Linked DNA regions of Nothobranchius furzeri. The protein of the gene in region 1 interacts with the protein of each later gene in a pairwise test. Links are inferred from orthologs where the notes say so. Each region holds a gene or a part of one and is shown on either strand. Other genes may lie near its edges.

Region 1 (4,088 bases):
CCGTTTTAAAAGGGAAGAATTTGTTTAGAACCAAATTCTATGTTCATTTCAAATACCATCAAAATGAATCACTTAAATCCTAAAGTTGGATGCTGTTGGTTTTTTTATAAGCTTGAGTGAAACACAAAACAGCCATGGTCAGATAATAGTTTGTAATAAAACAGATTACTTACAGGTGATGTGTGTATCTGCGGTGTTTTCTTTTAGGTTTGTGCAGCTCGGTGTCTGTGCTGTGAATGATGTCAGAGAGCAGCTTGCCTGCCTCCTGCTAGAGCGTCTGTTGCGTTGGTGGGGGCGAAACAGCCAAAAGCCCTCCCATGAACAGCTGGGGATGCAGAGCGGAGGAAACGCTCTTTGTTTAGTTTGAATGAAGGCAGGTGGAGAGATGGGTGAGGAAGGGGGAGTGGTAAAGGAGGGGTTGATGAACGTTCCAAAGTAGGTGATGTGTTTTGCTTTTTCCTTAACCATAACACATCCTGATAAAATGTTTCTCAAAAGACATATAAAGAAAACTTAGCACATCTGGGAATTGAACCCGGAGTCTCTCGCATTCAATATGAGAATCATACCCCTCTACCAACAAAATGCTGATGTGTTAAAGGAACATATGTATATTGTAGGTAATAAATGTTTCATGTTTTCTTGACATTTGTGCTGTTGAAGCATCGGTTCACGATGACACCTTGCTCGCGGGATTGCGGTAAAAACGGAAAAGCTATCATGATATCCCTCTTCCCTAGCCATGGCCAAGCAGATAATTTATACAACACTCACGCAGCGACACAGCGACCAATATGTTCGGACAGCAGACCGCCGAATTTTCAAATCACATTCTAAATGACCATGCTAAAAATTATGGGCTCGTCCGGGATTTGAACCCGGGACCTCTCGCACCCGAAGCGAGAATCATACCCCTAGACCAACGAGCCACGTGTCCGGGAAAGACACATAAAATAATTTAAAGTTAATTTAAAGTGATATGTAGTTTTTCTGTAAATGTACTGTTTTAAAAGTATTATTGTATTTTTACACACTATAATAGAATGTCTAATTTCATGGAATTTCAGACGTACCTTCACGTTACACGACATCTGAATCTTAAGCCGTGAGATTAATGTGTTTGTTTTTTCTTTAATTTTCCCTCCCAAACCTTATTTTTAAAGTCGAAGACCAAATAATAAATTACATTTTTTAAAATGTTGCCTACGTAAAACGTAATGAGGTCACAGTTAGAAGGCGGATGTACCGCCTTGGAACCGGAAATTCTTTGTAAAGAAAAGCAGTTGAACGCCGAATAGTGTTGTTGACGTAGCGATGTCATCAAACTTGTTTATACTCTACAACGTGCCGGTCTTAGCTTGTAAGGACAATCTGGATAGAGTCCACCGTGTTGTAGCACCTTAGCGCGCAGAGGGGACAGACGGCGCCATTTTTGAACGAGATGGAGGTTTCTTTGGAATCAATACAGAATCCTGATATAAGGTAACAGACGTTTGGTTTGTCGTGAGGCTAAGTCAGCCATCTTTAGATGCGTGTTTACACAAATGAAGTTGATAACACGCTTTAATCTTCTGCTACGCAGCTCTGTCCTGTCCTCATGCGAGCCTGAGCTGCAGGAGCTGATGAGACAGATTGACATTATGATCAATCATCAGAAGAGGGAGTGGGAGGCTGAGCTCCACGCTCTGCAGCTCAGGGTCACCAGTGGAGAAGAAGAGCTTTTAACCTCCAAGACTACCATTGAACGGAGGGATCTGGAGGTGAAGTGACGATTCATCCTTTTTTGCTCAAAAGAATCACAAAAGTAATTTAATCAACACAGAAGCTTGTAATAAAAAAGCAAGCATGCCCTTATTTTGACATGCAGCATTTTGAAGGTAACATTTTTCCATCCCATTTCCAATTCCAAACATGGACTCTCCTGCTAAAACAGTTTTTATGGCCACTGTCTCCATTTCTGGCCTCACCTAATGTTGGAGACTTACTAAATTATTCCTTAAATGATCAGAAAGCCTCTGCTATGAAGATTCGTTGTACTCTCAAAACAAAACCTCCTGCAGATTCAATTAAATGTTTCAAAAATAAATGTAAATGTGTGAGGATGTTGGTTTTAGGACATGTTTTAAACCGTAAGGAAGGAGACAGTAAATAGTTGTGGCATGAAGCATTTTATCTCTATTCCCATAATAACACCATCACCTATTCAATCAATCAATCAAACTTTATTTCAGACAAGGGATATGTCCATAACAAGAATAAAAAAAATAAAAAATAAATAAAAAAATAAAATACAAACACATTCTAATTACAAACCATATAGGCAGTTGCTCCAATGTTTAAAAAGGACTGAGGAGTACCTCGTGTCACTGTAAGATAAAGATGACAGAGCTCTAACAACCGCGTTAGCTGACAAACTCAGTCGGCAGATGAATTTGTACATGAAGAGCCTCAGAAGCGCATGAAAAGTTGGGATGTTACTCGTAACAAACATGTGACTTGCCGAAGTCCATCTAGGGAGCTTCATGAGGATTCTAAAAGCATCCTGATAAGCCACTTGAAGCTTCTTCATTACTACCTTACTATAGTTGCACCACAAGTGGGCGGTATAGAGAGGAGTACAAAAGGAACGAAAGAGGGACACTTTTACAGGATCTGAGCACATGCCAAAGTTACGTGCCAGAGTGTTAGCCTGCATGTACAGCTTACCACACTGCCTCTTAATGTCCTCGTCATCACAGAGGTCACTTCTTAAAATGTGCCCCAAATATTTTACTTTGCTTACCACTTCCAGGACCTGATTTGTTAAGTTAAAAGATGGAAAATTAAGCTTCAGGTCCCCTTTAGTAGCAGCAATCATAACCACACTCTTTTTAGGGTTAAACAGGATGTCAAATTGCTCACCATACTTAGCACATGCCCTGAGCAGCTGCTGCAGGCCTGCGCTATAGGGAGACATGAGGACTAGGTCATCTGCATATATTAAATGATTTACCAGTCGGTCACCCACCAAGCATCCAGTCTTACTAGCATTCAGAGTAACAGACAACTCGTCAAGGTACAGGTTAAAAAGGACAGGTGACAGAATCCCGCCTTGTCTGACTCCATTTGATACGGAGAAAGGTTCAGACACTTCTGTCCCCCACTTTACCTGCATCAGTTGATGAGAGTACCAGAAGTGCAAAATCCTAACTAGGTAAGAAGGGACCCCTCTGTTTTGTAGCTTGATGAATAATTTCTGATGATTGACTCTGTCAAAGGCCTTAGAGGCATCTAAAAAACACATAAAAACAGAAGTATTATGCCTCATGTATTTGTTGCAGATTGGACTTCTTCACAAGCAGCTTGAAGCCGTTCAGACGGATCGGCAAGAGTTGGTATCCAAGTACGAACAACAACTAAAGAGACTCCGTGAAGAGGTGTGATCATCTGTTTTTCCTCAAATGCACTCAGCTATATCGCTTGTATCATGTTTATTGTTAACATCGTTTCTTATAGTTGGACAAGTTGAAGAGAAGTTACCAGAAGCTTCATCGCAAACAGCTTAAGGAGACAAGTGGAGGTGGAAAGGAGACTGAGCTTGCAAAGGTGAACTAATAGATTTTCCTGGCATTTCCATCTCCTGGAATTTGATTAATCGTTCTTACATTGGTGCAGAAGCATCAGCAGCGCTCTGAGCAGCAGCGAACTCGGTACCAAAACCAGCTGACCACACTGGAGCTCCAGAATAAAAGCCTGAACCAGGAGCTTGCTCACTTAAAGGTTAAAAAGCACATTTATGACTTTCACTCAGGAAGCCAGACATATTTAGTGTATAAAAGTGTGGAAGACTGCTGCATTGTTGTTGCATTTCAGTAATATTTGTTTTTCCAGAGCCAATGGGCATCGGGGCGGGTGGAGAGGGAACACAAGGAGTGCTGTTCAGAGGTGCAGCATCTGCGTGCACAGCTGGAGAAGGCTCAGGCCAGCCTGCACTCACAGGAACTGGAACTGGATCGCCTCAGACCGCTGGAGGTGCTGTTGGGACAGTCCCAGAGAGAGCAGCAGGTTAGCAGGGCGACAGGAACATGTGAGATGTGTGGCTTCTCAGC
Region 2 (3,514 bases), on another chromosome or scaffold:
CTCTCAGGGCTTTTATCATCTCTGGTGTGAGTTTAAAATATAAGTGAGTTAGCACTGTGTTGATTATCCCTAATATGAATAAATGTTTATTTATTCAATGTTTCTCTTCTTTAATATGCAATAGAAGTTATGCTATTCATGGATAAAAAATCGTGATAAAATCGAAATCGTGATAAAATATTGGAAAAATCGTGATATTCTATTTTTGCCATATCGCCCAGCCCTAAGTGCAGGGAGGCCAGAACCGGACCGATGTGGTCCCATTTCCTGGTCCCAGTCAGAAACCTGGCTGCGCTGTTCTGCACAACCTGTAGGCGGCGCAGTGATGATTGACCCAGTCCTGCATATGGAGAGTTGCAGTAATCAAGCCTTGTAATTACAAAAGCATGGAGTACCCGCTCCAGGTGAGCTGTCGACAGCATAGGCTTGATTTTTGCAAGGCGTCTCAGATGAAAGAAACTGGACCGGATCACAGAGTTGATGTGAGCATCAAATTTAAGTCCAGCATCAATTTTCACCCCCAGACTGGTGACAACTGGTTTTGAGCATAGGTTTTGAGTAGGGAGAAAGAGGGCCAAGATCAACATAACGACCCACAGCCCTGCTGTTGGGGTGAAAAACAATGAGCTCTGTCTTTTCCTCATTCAGATGCAGATAGTTGGCCATTAGCCAAGACTTTACTTCGTTAAGACAGGACACAATGGACTGGATAGAGAGACCTTTCTCTTGACACAATGGAGAGTAAATCTGGCAATCGTCAGCATAGAGATGGAACGCTAGGCCATGTTTACGAAAGATTGACCCCAGTGGAAGCAGATAAATGGCAAACAAAAGATGACCAAGGATCGATCCCTTCGGGACCCCCCAGTGGAGCCTCTCCCAAGAAGAAAAAACATCATCTAGTTTTAATAGAGCTCCGGACCCTACGTGACTCTCAGTTAAGCCGGGCGTACTGAGAAACTTCTGGAGTGTTTGATATTTTGCTTGTTCCTCGTGAAGGTTGAAGCAGCGCAGCCAGCCGCTGCGACTCATAAAGTATCAGAACCGCTCACGGCGCATGCGTAATCATCAACACCGCGCGCCCGCTATTTCCCTAATATCACACGTTGTTTGTTTTTATTTCTGAACGTCTTTCACACACACAATGACAAGGATTGTCAAGAAAGCATGTTCGTCGTGTTCATGTCAAATTAAACTGATCACAAAACACAGATTTACTTTCTTTATTTCGTTTTCCTCATCCAACTCCCATAAATCCCTGTGTGTCCTCCTGCGGCACTCCCGAAGGACATCGGGCAAAAAAAGACAAAAAAAGTCTGACGTGTTGTGTAAAAACTGCTATTGTTAGCATATTTTTAGGTCCGACGTGTTGCTACCAGACGTACAGTGTGAGCACATGACTCGTGAGATCTGCTCTGCGAGGAAGTCGTACAGTTTGAGCTGAACCTGAGTGCTACGAGTGAAAAAGTCGCACAGTGTTCGCCCAGCTTAAGACCCTCAGTAGAGCATACTCTGTGCTATGGCCAGACCTGAACCCTGATTGGAAAACCTCAAACAGATCAGAGTCAGCTAAATGTGAGACCAGCTGCTGATAAACGGCTTTCTCAAGCAGTTTCGATGTAAAAGGCAGGGTAGAGATGGGCCCGTAATTTGCGATCACAGAGACATCAGCACCAGGTTTCTTCTGCATCCAGATTACCACACTGTGCGCCAGTAAAAAGAATTTTTCTTACACGTAACTTACTTTTGTTCAATTAAGTTCTGGGGAAAATAGTAATTCAAAGATGTTGCACCAGTGCTACTTTTAAAAATAAACAGACACGCACAGTTTATTTCGTCGCACTGTACAAAACTGCTCTGATATGGAAGAGCCTGGGGGAAAATCAGGACATCAGTAGTACCAACCATAGATATGTAACTAGCGAGAAAAAGCATTTTTGGTCTTTGTCTGCAGCGGTTTTAGGACTTTTCGGTGCACCGCTGCTGATACAGCGCCCCCTGTAGTGCAAAGCTGCAACTGCAGTTAAAATAGCATCCATGTAGCTGGGGGCAGAGTGAAATCAGGCTGGGGTGGCACAAAATTAGCTGGAGGCGGCTGCCACGCAAATTTGAATGCAGGAAAAACCCTGTGTATCACACTTAGTTTATTGTGTTATTGACAACAGCTTGATAACTCTATTTCTGTAGAAATCATAAGTTGATCATCGGTGTTGTGAATTAAACAGGCACAACTAGCCTCTGTGTGCTGCTTTCAACTTCACTAGTAACAAAGTCATCTCCCTCCAGATTGACAAGGAGGAAGTCTCCCTTCGCCGTGTCATTGGTGCAAAGAAGGACCAGTACTTCTTGGATAAGAAGATGGTGACGTGAGTGTCGTGTGTGGATAGACTCTTTATGCACATCCCAAAGACAATGCACGGATGTCTCTTTCATGTATTCTATTTCCTGTTCTCGTTGCAGTAAGAACGACGTCATGAACCTTCTGGAGAGTGCCGGCTTCTCTCGCAGTAACCCCTATTACATTGTGAAGCAGGGAAAGGTGAGAAACAGAAAATACTTGTCTTTAGGCTGCTCCACGTAAAGTAATTATTAGGGCTGGGGGTAAACGATTATTTTTAAAACGATTATTCTGACGATTATTTTATCGAATAGTCGACTATTCTAATGACTATTTAGAAAATTAATCTAATGATTATTTTTCTAAATAGTCATTAGAATAGTCGACTATTCTAATGACTATTTAGAAAATTAATCTAATGATTATTTTTCTATTGCACAATTAACAAAAACCAGAAAATCTCAAATAAATTCCTCAAAAAAATGGATAAATTGTTACTGTAAGATAATAAACACTACAGGCCTTCCATTTTGTATAACACTGCTTTTATTGTGTTGCGGTTGGTTATGTTCTGGTGACGTGTAGAACTTGGGAGTGCAGGCTGCTGCCTGAGAGGTGGTAGAAGATGGAGTGTCTCCATGCTGCTTTGTTTTGGTCACTTATGTGCGTGAGGCGAGTGGTCTTACGGGTTAAACCAAACTCAGGTGATATTTTACACTAAACCGAAAACCCACAACACTCTAAATGTAATAAAAGGGAGATCTACACCACAAAAAAATGAACTCTAAACCAAAACGTAACAGCTTATCCCAACGCAAGAAGCTGTTAGCGAAGATGCTAACAGTAGCTTTACCAACATTAAATTCAAGTTACCAAGTTTAAATAAACCAAAAACACCCGGCAGCAAACAGACCAGCACGGAGGAGAGACTGCTACCACCAAAACAGCTCTCCTCATGTCTGAAAGAAGCTCCTTTATGAAGGGAGAAGCGCTCCCGGTGATTTTCTACATCTGCGATAGACACGAAGCAGCGCATCTGACCCCGGAAGTTGTTGTCCGTTGCCGGGAGACGAAGGGGCAAAACAGGAAAATAATCTAGTAGTGGACGGACGTTGTTCCGGGTCTTCGGTATTTGGCGGAGATGTTAGTGAAGGCGGAGAAGAGGGCGAACTAGAG
Region 3 (4,304 bases), on another chromosome or scaffold:
TGGTGACTCTGTATCTGGTTTAGAGGGCTTTCACACCATCTCACCGCTGCTCTCTTTTTTTTCTTTCGTGATTTCCAAACTAACCAGTTAGTGAGGTCTTTTATTGACGCCATGTTTGTTTTGGCTGTACCCACAAACCCAGCTCTCTCCATCTGGTCTGAATAGTCTAGTGTACCCCTTAATGGAATGCTCCAGAACTACATGCAGTGCAGTGCTGTGTAGTAGCAAGTATGTGAACAAAGACGCAGCCTGCTGCCTGCACCAACACGAGGTCAAACAGCAAGTATATCACAGCCCTTAGCATTAGCAACTCCACAACACAGCAGAACTCCTTCAAGCTTGTGTTTTTTGTGGAGATAAAGCATCAACGTTGCAGAGCTAACAGAGTCAGTGATAGAGTTGCTTTGCTGTTAGCAGATCAGAAGGGAGATGTTCAAATCCAAATCCTGCCACCTGAAGCTTCTTTCTCATGCTGATTTGTACTTCCTGAAACAGGCATACCCACCCCTACCTCCGAAAATGGCATTCCTGCTAGAGACCACTGCAAATGTATAGAGCTCCGGGAGTTGACGTCACTTCTCCCGGCATGCAACAGTTCCAATCAAAACGGCGCCATCTTGGCAGTCAGAAGCCAGCGGCTGGACTATTTGTTATTGTCAGAAAACTCAATCAAACAGGAAATATGGTAGATTCCTGTTGTGCCCCAGAATGCAGAACAGACGTGGACGACACAAGGAATGAGCCATCTACAGGATTCCCCAAGATCCGGAGCGCTGCAAACGTTGGATCATTGTAATAAAACGTGCTAGTGACCGGGCTAAAATGAAACTGTGGGATCCCGAGAGTAAAGGTTTTCGCTTATGCAGCGACCGCTTCATATCAGGTACTTAAACCAACGTTTCCTCAACTGTGTATGGTGTTTATTTTAAATGCTTTTATTACGATTCTTAGTGGGCTTCCTAAACTTATTTTGGCGTGGCTTTTTCTGTCTTATTACTCATAGCAACAAGTAAACGTCACGTAAAACGTTGCCTCGTGTTTCTGCGTGCTGCCGTTTACGTGTTTTATGATGACAGCAATTAACCGGCTAAGCTGTATTTAATTTTTAAGCAATGGTTGATCAATTGTCAGATCACACATAAAAAGCACTTTGGATTGCTATTATCTGTCTCACCGAGACAGATCTCAGACAGATCCTGAGACGCTCCTGCCTGACATATTTATTTTATTCACGGGAAAAAATCAGACTAGTGATTTCTCTTGGCGCTCAGTTTATACTTTCAAACAGCACAGCACTCTATTTAAACTACTTACATGTAAATCTATGTTATTTGTCCATCCATCCATTTTCATCCGCTTATCCGGAGTCAGGTTATGGAGGCAGTAGCCTAAGTCGAGCGGCCCAGACTTCTCTCTCCCCAGCCACTTGGGCCAGCTCCTCCGAAGAAATCCCAAGGCGTTCCCCGGCCAGGTCCGGTAAGAAGTCCGTTCTGACAGCTTCTGGCATTTTTAAAAAGTATCCCAGGGGCACGGTAAGGGTCGGAGATGTTTAGTCAATTTAATTTCTGACTATATAAAAAGATTTATTTGGTTTTAAAGTGTGAAGTAAACTCCAACGAAGTAAAATCCAAGCCGATCCCGTTCATTTTGTTTACATTTGTTGCCTGCCAACATGGCGTCTACTCTCTGAGAGTCACGTGACGTCCGGAGCTCTATTGATTAAATGGGTGAACCACATCTTTAAAGAGAACCATGGCTATGTGTCAGAGTAAGTTTTTTGGGTTTCATGCAACACACAACATCTAGAAAAGAATGAAGTGGGTCAGATGGTTCAGAGATCCAGAATCACATTATCACCAGTACTCCTGCACAGCTTGTGGCCATTAATTAGACAATTTTCTTTAAAGTCATGATTATTTGATATGTGACAACCCAAATAATTGACTGTGGTGTTAAAACTAAAAGGTAAAGTTCAGGGTTGAACAGTACCTGCAGATCTGTGATGGAGACGCTGTGGGACTCCACGGTGGGCCGGCGGGGCAGACGTGGAGAAGAATGGGGTGATGTGATAGGAGAGTATGGTAGTGATGGGTAAATATAGCGCCCGTTTAATCCAGGGGAGCTGCAGGGGGATGCTGCCGTCTGTGAGCGCTCCTGCAAAGAGAGCTTCCGGTCGGACAGGCTCAGCCTGCCCCTCTGCTCTTGGCTTTCCGGCAGCAGAGCCTCTGGCCGACCAAATGTATGGGACAGCAGGTCACAGGATGGAGTCCGGAAAGGTGCTGCAGGGGAGGAAGCAGGCTCGGGCGTCTCAGAGCTGTCCATTTCTTCTACCTGATGTAGTGCATAGAAATAATTTTTGTTACTTCATTTTAACATAAATAAATGTCAGTAGTTGAGTACAAACTTTTAATAAGGTGTTAAAGTTTGTGTTTTTATTCAGGCTAGCATTTGAAACTTCACTTTAGGTCAATATGAAGATTTATTACAAATTTTCCCAATTATGTATTTGAATCTTGCACTTTCTATAAATCAGATTATTTTTCATCTCACCTCTTCCTCTGCAGCCTGTCCAGGTGGCCGGCTTGGTTCATACTCCGTGACCACGATGAGGGACTCCATGGGGTCCGAGGACAGTGTAAGTGTTTAAAGGTGGCACAGGACAGCTGCACAGCAGATCAGGGAGAGGTTGGGAGGGCTGCACTGAGGGGGCATGGCTACCGCAAGACGCTGGGGGCTCAGCAGAAGGCCAAGCAGTTACGTGGCAAGGAAACATGGTGCCTGTCCAGGAAGACTGAGAATCGCTGCTCCATCAGAGCAAACCTTCGAAGGGGAGATGTGTCTAAGGCAAAGGGACAGAAAAATATGGGTTTGTTTAGAAAGTAAAAGACAGATTGTTACGTAAAAAATTGCAAATACACACTTCCCCGCTACTGCACAACTACACATAAGCATTTGAGAGGTGGTTAAACTGTCAGATTTTATGGGAATGTCTTTATTTTGCTCACAGCTGTGTCAACAGGTAGGAGTGTTAGCTGGAACCAATCTGCATTTCTTTAGCACATCTGAACTTCAAAGTCCCCATCACAGAAAAGTAAGACAAAAGCTGTTTCTCAGCTGACAACACATTTAAAGCAGCACAGCTCTATTTTCCACATTCAGAGTTCGTTTTTGATGTTGTTTATTTAGAGGACGGTACTGAAACCCACACTTCTCATGTGTCTTAGAAAGCATTTAACTATTAACCCCTAAAAGGGGTTGTGTATATTGTGTATCACAATAATAGGGGTTAGATTATGGAACAATTTAGAAGAGGAAATCAAAGTAAGTACAAATATAAATGTGTTAAAAATGAATTATAAAAAACATATTCTGAACAAGTATATAGTGGAAAATCGATGATTTAAGTGGGTGTCCTTTATTCTAAGGAAAAGTAAATTGTATCAATTGTAAAAAAAATGTGTTTTTTTTTGTTGTTTTTTTTCCCATATGGTTTGGTGTTTATTTTTTATTTTTTGGTGACTTGTACCATTTTGTTTGTTTTAATGTAGGTTTTGTGTTAGATTTAGTAAACAAGTAAAACTTACTTGTATAAAGGGGTAGGGACATATAAGTTCCCACTTCTGCCTACTCCTTTTCAAACAGAGAAGAAGGGATGATGATATGTATTTTTTCTGTTTGTGGTATTTTAAAAAAAATGATGTATGTTTTCTTTGTTTGAAATAAACTAAACTAAACTAGAAAAGAACATACAGGATCCAAGCACACTAGTAATCAGTTTTGTTATACTTTCAGTAAAACAAAAATATTAAACATGTTTTTTTTCATTAGGATAGAAACATAATGTCAGGCGTGCTGGTGAGTGAGACGGAGGTGAGGATCCACACACGGGTGAAGGAGGCAGGCAGGCAAACAGGAACATTAAAACAGGGATTTTAATCGGGAACACGCTGACATAGAAACAATGATCCAACACGAGACACAGAACTGAAGGGGTTTAAATACAAGAGGGCTGGGAGCTTGGGTGATTGGAAAACGAGAGGCAGGTGGGAGCAATTAGAGACACATGACTAAACAGAACGGGGAGACAGGACAGGGTGTGACAGTACCCTACACCCCCCCCCCCCCCTCAAAGGGCGGATCCCAGACACCCACAGGAACACAGAGCAGGGTGGGAGGAGGGGGACCAGGAAGGAGGGCCAAGAGGAACTGAGGGACCGGTGGAGAGGAGGCAGGAACCAGTAAAGTCCAGGGAGCTCCGTCTGGGGCAGAGGAGGAGACGACGACGAGCTCTTGGGGGCCTGCGT
Region 4 (3,514 bases), on another chromosome or scaffold:
TCATAAGAAACACGCCAAAGCCATTTTTAGCCTCATTCATGCATTTTCCTCCCATCTCAGCTTCAATTTGGTCTCCTCCCCAGAAGCGGGCATGGTCTTGGTTCTCAAATCTGGATATTCTGTGAATTTTCTGACAAATTATTTCTGAAATGACTTCTACTGAGACACCGCCAAAACATACAACCCATCTCAGAGACACACTGGGAAGGACAGTTAGATGTAACGCGGCATAAGTTACAACAGATGTGGTGGTGTAGTGGTTAGGGAATTGGGTTGACAATCAGTTTTGCGCAGGTTCGCCTCCCATTAGTGAAAGTTTTAGGTAGTGTGCAACCTCTTTTCTTCATTTCTAGCTACACTTGCCAGTACTATGTTTAAAACAATTTACTGGTATACCGTTTAACATATAATGACTAATGTGTTTTTTTATTTATTTATTCGTTTATTTAGCCAGTGTGAGTCCATTTGTGAGCAGAGTTTCAACTAAAATGCTGTTTAAGAACGACCAAATTCAAAGAACTTTTAGAGACAAATATTTTGCTGAAAATAAACATTACAACTAAAATATAAACAAATTAAATGTTTCAGCTGGCTAAATAGATTGCTGACGACCCCACCGAGAGTCGAACCAGCATCAGCTGAGGGGAAAGCAAAATTTACCCCATTCGATCTCACCACTAGACTACATAAGCTCATCCGAAAATCTGACATACTGTTATACAGCACTTTTGTTAGACCGGCTGTGGGCAGATATTCGCTAAAAGAAACCTTTTCATTTCGAGATATATTCAGTCTTTGTCATGTAGCAAGTTATATTTATCTTGTTTAGAACATAGCATTAACGACTGTAAACTAGTAACAGCCGTAATTCATGTGGGTCAGGTCAGTTTGCGATAAAGTTGAAAACAAAAACGGAAGTCAGTGGGTAAGCTGAGTTTGCGTGAATGGGCGGGGCTGACTCTGGTGCAGCTCCACCTTATGGTGCAGCTCCGCCTTTGTGGTTCTGCAGCGAGCACCCTCTCGAGTGTTTAGCTAACCTGCAGGAAATGTCGACGACAGTTATCCAGAAAGTAGCTAAGGGCTACCAGAGATGTTTCTGAGGTGTTCGCTAGGTACTTTTAAGTTAAAAAGTTAAGAAGGGGTCTGAAAAGCTGCTAGAAATAGCGTCAAAGTCACTAAGTTGGCAACATTGTGGGAGGAGCGCTTCATTTGCAACTCAGGGCAGCGCAAGCGGGAGGAGCAAGTAATCGGCTTGTTTTGTTTTTTATAATCGTTCAAAACTCAGATCGTAATCGTGATTAAAATTCGATTAATTGAGCAGCCCTACGTTTACATACCGTACACATTTTATACATCTAACTCATCTGCTTCATCTCCTCTCACTCAAAATGCCTAAATAGGACAGATCTGAGGTTTAGTATTTGAGATATTTTAGGTCATTTTTATTTTTTGGTACATTTTTAGAATGATTAGGCATTTGCTATGTGTAGTAGGGATCTTCCACATAGCTATGTGTAGCCAGCTAGCAAAACGATTAAAACAAGCACAAGAATCTTCACCCAAGGTTTGCTTATCTTAAAAGAAGACTTTTCAGCCCCCAACAAGTTCATAAGCTCTAAGAAGGTTTCCAATTGTAAACATGCTTCATGTTTGTGTTGTAGGTGTGTGCAACAAACTTTGGAGAAATTTGCTCTATTGTTGGTCAAGAGAGCACAGAAAAACTACTGGTGAGGGACTTGTTTTGTTCCTTTAATTCATACTTTATTTTTAACATGAATGCAGCCTGTTTATGATGTTAGTCTGTGCATTGAGCAGCTTTGTTGGTGTTGTGAGGTCACCATGGTGTAATGAAAGTTCAACAGAGTCTCTGTTGTTCTGCTGCTCTCTGCCCTTCAAACACTCACATTGTTTTGGTTTTGCATTCACCACAGATGTCCAAGTTCTTCAACCTGTGCTCAGATTCCCTCTGGGGCATCAGGAAAGCATGCGCTGAGTGCTTCATGACAGTCTCCAACTCCACCTCTCCAGAGGTGCGACGCTCAAAGTTGTCCCCCCTGTTCATCAACCTCATCAGCGATCAGTCTCGTTGGGTAAGACGACCAGGAACGAATTCAGTTCAAATGACTAGTTTCTTTAGGAAGGAAATACTGGCGGATGCTGCTTCGAGTTGTTTCTCATTTTGAATGTTTTACCCCCAAAAAATGAAAACGGTTCTGGATTTGATTTCTTTAAATGTGTTCAGTGATGGAACCTAAAACCACTTCCTGCTTGTTGTAAACTAGGAATTTCTGCAATTCATTATCAATCCTCGTTTTCTTGAAGTTCTTTATGATGTTTAAGACTCTTTTCAGTTTGTTCTGATGTGCGTGCACACCAAGAGTTTTCTCAGAGATGCAGTCAGGAGCTTATTTCGATAAAATCTGCTCTCTACACATTGTTGTTGACTAATTCAATAAGGGATGAACAGAGGGACTTCGCTCTTTATTTGCTTTCAGGTGCGACAAGCTGCCTTTCAGTCTTTGGGTCGATTCATCTCCACCTTTGCCAGCCCCTCTAGCACAGGACTTCACTTTAGAGAGGACGGCGCCCTCCCAGAGGTCCCCAGGTGTACCCCAGACAGGCAAGATCACCTCCGTTTTGTCAAAGCAGTTGTGAACATCAGCAAAGATAAAATTTCTTTGTTCCTGTACGTTGTTTTAAGGCCAGTTTTATACCAGACCTGAGTTTGAGGATTAGTTTTTTTTAATTGATCATAATCTGGGTCATTGAGTACGGCTTAACCGACAGCGTTTGAAAAAAGAACGTTTAACCAAATAGATGACTCACGTGTTTTACATTTTTGTGTCTTCAGTAACTGTCCTCTAAACCCTCTGAACTGCTCCGACATCAGCGGCTGCCTCAAAGACAGAACCATCACCCACACACCCCCCAATCAGGACGGCCGTGCCACCCCCTCACCGGAGCACGTCCCTTCTGCAGATGGCGAGGACGTGGACAGCTTCGAGGAGAACCGCTCTCCTGTTCCCGTAAACAGACCGGATGGCTTCACTCTCACAAACAGCAGCGACGGCCCCACAGCCACCAACAACATCAAGAACACAAAAGAACACGAGCAGACAGACGAGAACTTTAATTCCTTCAACTATTGGAGGCCTCCTTTACCCGACATCAGCGAGGAGCTGGAGATGCTAAATTGTGAGAAATCGGAGGAAGTCACAGAAAAGGAGGAAACGGAAGAGGAGGAGCACCAGGAAAGTAGTTCAGATTCTAAACCCAGCCCCGGAAAAGCTACCAGCGATCAAATCCAAAAGGTCTTGGACTGTTTGACGCCTCACATTGCTGATCCCGATGTACAAGGTGGGTAGATAGGAATGGAGATTTTACTGGTGTGTAGATTTAACTGAGTGTGTATTTCACCTCCAGTTCAAGTCCAAGTCTTGTCAGCAGCTCTGAAGGCGGCCCAGCTCGACAGCCCGTCTGACGGCAGCCCGACAGAAACCAGCCCTACCGAGGA
Region 5 (3,981 bases), on another chromosome or scaffold:
AAATGATAAATAATTATGTGTTTTGACTATGTCTGTCACGTAATTTGAGATTTATTTGCTTAAAAAAGTCATAAATAAAAAAATTACAAAGCAGAAGTTGCAAACTTGCAAATATGACGTCGGCGCAGAATCTCATCTCCCTAGCGTAGCTGCTACTTTGCACGTGGCCAGATTTATAACCTTAACTCTGAAAACATATTTTTTATTATTATTTCTGATCAGTCACTAAGTTATGCTGGCTGAACATGAAAATAGTCTCCCACACATATGTCCTGCTATGGTGAAACAAGGATTAGAAAAGCCAGTCAGTGTTAGAGGTGCGTTGCTGTTAAGTAATCTGAGGTAAAATGTCCAAATGTCAGAAAATAAGACAGCTGTGATGAGGCTCACTTTTGGTTCCTGGAAATGCACCGGTGCCCCCCCCCCCCCCCCCCCCCCCCCAAAAGATGATTTCAATTTTAGATATGGTATATTTATTTCCCCACGTTTAGAAAATGGATTCCTACATCAAAGAATTAAATTAGACATTGGGCCCTGTCAACAGATATTAATCTCATATAATCAGAAGGAGGAGAATTTTTTGTGGTCTGTTTATTACTTTTTACAACGTGAAATATAATTATTGAGAGTAATATTCAGTTTCAATGGTGCTGAGCTGGATAATGATGCTGGATTATCTCCCTCCCCAACTACATCGGTCTCTCATTATCATTCCACCTGTGCGGTTCACAACTGTTTAAATTAGAGCCCATCATTCACTTTCTGTCTTTAGGGAGGCAGAAAAAAAATATCTCCAGTGTGAAACTTGTAATAGCTACATCTGGTGGCGAAAATTGAATACTGCAGCTGCAGCGTGGAGGTAAAATAAAATGGGTGCTTCCAAAAGTAGTGTTCACCTTGTAGATAGTTTTCAGCCGCTTTCAGAATTTAACTGTCAGCTCAAAATCAGCAGATTGTGTAAAAAAATAAAAAAAACTGAAAGAAAGGCTTATCAGGCCAGTCTGAGAAACAGCGTTTTCTCTTCTCTCCTGCTCAGTCTCTTTTCATGACTAATAGGAGCGAAGCTTAAAATTAAATCAGCACTGCGTTGATCTAAAGTAGCAAAGGTGCAACACCAAATAACGAGTTTTACTCTGAGGTTTGCAGCAGAGATGAGCTGCAGAGCGTCCTCCCTCTCTGAGCAGTGAGCTGCTCTCTCCTGGTTTATTTTGAGGGGCTCTTATCACAGCTGTTGCATCAGTGGTGGCCGCCTGTCCGAGCCCCTCCACACTCTTTCTGTTCCCCATCTGGCCCTCAGTCCTGGTAAGACCCTGCCTGCTCTTTACCCTGCTTCTTTTCTGATATTTGCACACAAATAACATAGAATTCTTGGTTTCCTAACATCTGTCTCACACGTCTAACAAACGTGGGACTGACTCCAGTGGCGGTTTGGAGTTTGCCAAGTCTGTTGAAGATGAGATGCTGTTAATTGCAGTGAGACTTTCCTGCGTCATTTGCTGTCAGAAGTTAAAATTGTCTGCTGGTGAGAGAAAAGGGAACATTTTAACCTCTAATGAAACGCTGCATAGTTAAAAGAGTTTTCCTACACATAGCTCTGTAAAATTTCCATTTTAACATGTACTTCTTTATAAAAGCGTTAAAAGATCAGAGATATTTGTCTTTATTTGAAGTTTAACCACAATAAAAAGATGTTTTCAAGAAACACTGACCCTGACATAAAAAAAGAGTGGAATAGAATTAAATAATAAACAACATGCCCATATTAAGAAGTTCCTAAAATAGCTTGTGGGTCTGGAACAGGTGCCATTTGCTCTTCTTGTGAAAGCTAATTATATGCATCTAAACAGGCTCTGGCTGCGAGTACGACTCCACAGATACAAGCATGATGGACTTTACTACACCAGGAAAGCTTTGTTCGGGTTTATCACCTCGCTGCTGCAAAGACATTGAAATTCATATAAAAAAAAGGCATTCAGATATTTCATCTAGAGCATTATTTGGTGCGTATTTCTGTTTCTGCAAAAGAAATGTGCACCAAAGTTATGTTTTTAGTCTAATAAACAAAAACAACTTCAGCAGCATAGAATATTTAAATAAGAAAAGCTTCTTGGTGGTGGAATCTGCTTAATTCTGATTAATCTGTTATGATTTCACTCAACAATATGTATGTGAAATCTCCAACCAGTTTTCTCTGTAAATCTTGTTAGGATCTGCAAGGTGCTCAAATGGAGGAAAAACACTTGATATGAGGTTTTTAGACTGAATTTCAAGGTGTTGATTTTAATGTCAGGTTACATAGTTGAAGATTTCTTTATCATTTAAGTGCTGCTAATTTAGGCATCAAACACACAAAAATTCAGGCTGTAAATGTACTCGTTGTTGCTCTTAAACATCACAGGTTTGGATACTGTAGCTGTTGTGGATAGCACTGAACAACCTCAGTTTGGAGAAGCAGAGATGAGTTCTGACTGGACAAATGCTGATCTCAGTGGGGCAAGTCACAGACTGATTAGGAATATCTCAAAAGCCTCACAGTAGTTAGTGTGAATTAACTACATAAGACTCTGGTGGTTTGCAGCAGAAACTAGCTGCTTTAGCATTTCTGAAATTAAATGCTTAAAAGGCTACGGTAGACCAGCTTGTTTGTCATACCAGAGATAATTTCTGTTCCTCTTAAAGCCAGGCGTTCTCATGTGAGAATCTTTGAGGTTGAGGCGAGTTTGGTGTTGTGTGTCCAGTAGTATACAGGGATTACGAGAGGCGATTAGCACCGCACGACCAGCTCCCAATCAGTAATTGCACAAATATCAAACATGTTTGATATTTTCCTCATCCCTCGTGAGGTTATCACACTGTTGGAACAGCGCTGCGAGCCAAAAGTACCAGAACTGCTCACACAGCGCATGCACCAACACGGCTCGTCAGCTATTTTCGTATCAACTCAAGCTGTATTACTTATTTTTATACTTTTCTCTACACACAGTGACAAGGATTGTCAAGAAAGTGTGTTTTATGCCAAATAAAACATTGTTTTACTTCCTTTCTTTTGTCTTCCTTCTCAAACCCCCATAAACCCCATGTTGTCCTTCTATGGCAAGCCCGAAGGATAACACACATTAATAACATAGTTTGAATATGTTCATTTTTCCAAATAAATGCTGAAAAAAAACCCACCAGTAACAACACAACAGGTTTTAGAAATCGAAAGTCTGACATGTTGCGTAAAAACGACTATTTGTAGCATATTTTAGCTCCGATGTGTTGCTAGCACACATACAGTGTGAACAGTACAGTGAGAGAACATGTGAGCTTTGCTCTGCGAGGAAGTCATCCAGTTTGAGATGGAGCTGAATGCTACGAGTGAAAGCCACACAATGTCCACCCGTCCTAACTGATGTTGTCCAAAAGGCTTTATGGAGGATGTAAGATATTCATTGCTTTTGGCCTTTTAAGAGAAACACTTCAAAAAGCGGAACCCCCGCTTTTATGATCTTTTATGGTTTTCTTTCCAGTAAACCACTTTTAAAGTGGCCTAAATTGTACAAATAAATCAGATGTGGCTACACAAACTAATTGTCACGGTGTAGGAGGTGGAGATGATGGACCGCTAATTAGGGAAACATGGGCAGGTAAACGAGGGACAGGTGAGAACAATAAGGGCAATCACGGCAGGAGAGGAACACAGTCAGGTTGGGCAGGGGCAGATCGTGACACTAATATTAAAAAATCCTAACATGTTTTTTGTTTGTAATGGGGAGACTGTTTCTATAAAACCTCAGATATGATGTTTAATTCAACGATGAAAACAGATTTTTTTTTATGTGAAAAAGTGATCAAAGCATTTTTGTTGTGAGATAACAGACAGAGCAGCCGTGATCTGTCTGTAAATGATTTATTTTTGGTCTCTCGTGCAGAGGCAACTGTCTCCTTTGTGTTGCTACTAGCTCAGAATAATGGAGGCTTGTCAGGAGAGCAGCACTG

What was found.
Region 2: the proteins of cep63 (region 1) and smc3 interact in a two-hybrid assay, tested with the Homo sapiens proteins (2 studies listed by BioGRID and IntAct). The link is inferred for Nothobranchius furzeri from reciprocal best matches to the Homo sapiens genes CEP63 and SMC3.
Region 3: the proteins of cep63 (region 1) and calcium/calmodulin-dependent protein kinase kinase 2 interact in a two-hybrid assay, tested with the Homo sapiens proteins (2 studies listed by BioGRID and IntAct). The link is inferred for Nothobranchius furzeri from reciprocal best matches to the Homo sapiens genes CEP63 and CAMKK2.
Region 4: the proteins of cep63 (region 1) and ppp4r1l interact in a two-hybrid assay, tested with the Homo sapiens proteins (2 studies listed by BioGRID and IntAct). The link is inferred for Nothobranchius furzeri from reciprocal best matches to the Homo sapiens genes CEP63 and PPP4R1.
Region 5: the proteins of cep63 (region 1) and txlnbb interact in binary tests that used the Homo sapiens proteins (3 or more experiments, as listed by UniProt). The two-hybrid records come from large-scale screens. The link is inferred for Nothobranchius furzeri from reciprocal best matches to the Homo sapiens genes CEP63 and TXLNB.

Annotation. Positions count from the first base shown.
Region 1 is NC_091756.1:60,715,102-60,719,189, forward strand, and holds the start of cep63 (centrosomal protein of 63 kDa), read left to right. Parts: upstream 1-1,288; 5' UTR 1,289-1,441; coding exon 1,442-1,482; intron 1,483-1,582; coding exon 1,583-1,760; intron 1,761-3,320; coding exon 3,321-3,416; intron 3,417-3,495; coding exon 3,496-3,585; intron 3,586-3,654; coding exon 3,655-3,759; intron 3,760-3,870; coding exon 3,871-4,044; intron 4,045-4,088. UniProt on the Homo sapiens protein: Required for normal spindle assembly.
Region 2 is NC_091744.1:4,689,811-4,693,324, reverse strand, and holds part of smc3 (structural maintenance of chromosomes protein 3), read left to right. Parts: intron 1-2,286; coding exon 2,287-2,366; intron 2,367-2,460; coding exon 2,461-2,539; intron 2,540-3,514. UniProt on the Homo sapiens protein: Central component of cohesin, a complex required for chromosome cohesion during the cell cycle. The cohesin complex may form a large proteinaceous ring within which sister chromatids can be trapped.
Region 3 is NC_091746.1:48,735,372-48,739,675, reverse strand, and holds the start of calcium/calmodulin-dependent protein kinase kinase 2, read right to left. Parts: upstream 2,808-4,304; 5' UTR 2,620-2,807; coding exon 2,551-2,619; intron 2,332-2,550; coding exon 1,990-2,331; intron 1-1,989. UniProt on the Homo sapiens protein: Calcium/calmodulin-dependent protein kinase belonging to a proposed calcium-triggered signaling cascade involved in a number of cellular processes. Isoform 1, isoform 2 and isoform 3 phosphorylate CAMK1 and CAMK4. Isoform 3 phosphorylates CAMK1D.
Region 4 is NC_091743.1:58,786,413-58,789,926, forward strand, and holds part of ppp4r1l (serine/threonine-protein phosphatase 4 regulatory subunit 1), read left to right. Parts: intron 1-1,661; coding exon 1,662-1,727; intron 1,728-1,931; coding exon 1,932-2,090; intron 2,091-2,495; coding exon 2,496-2,620; intron 2,621-2,851; coding exon 2,852-3,357; intron 3,358-3,423; coding exon 3,424-3,514. UniProt on the Homo sapiens protein: Regulatory subunit of serine/threonine-protein phosphatase 4. May play a role in regulation of cell division in renal glomeruli. The PPP4C-PPP4R1 PP4 complex may play a role in dephosphorylation and regulation of HDAC3.
Region 5 is NC_091758.1:20,072,797-20,076,777, reverse strand, and holds the start of txlnbb (taxilin beta b), read left to right. Parts: upstream 1-1,179; 5' UTR 1,180-1,302; intron 1,303-3,914; 5' UTR 3,915-3,953; coding exon 3,954-3,981. UniProt on the Homo sapiens protein: Promotes motor nerve regeneration. May be involved in intracellular vesicle traffic.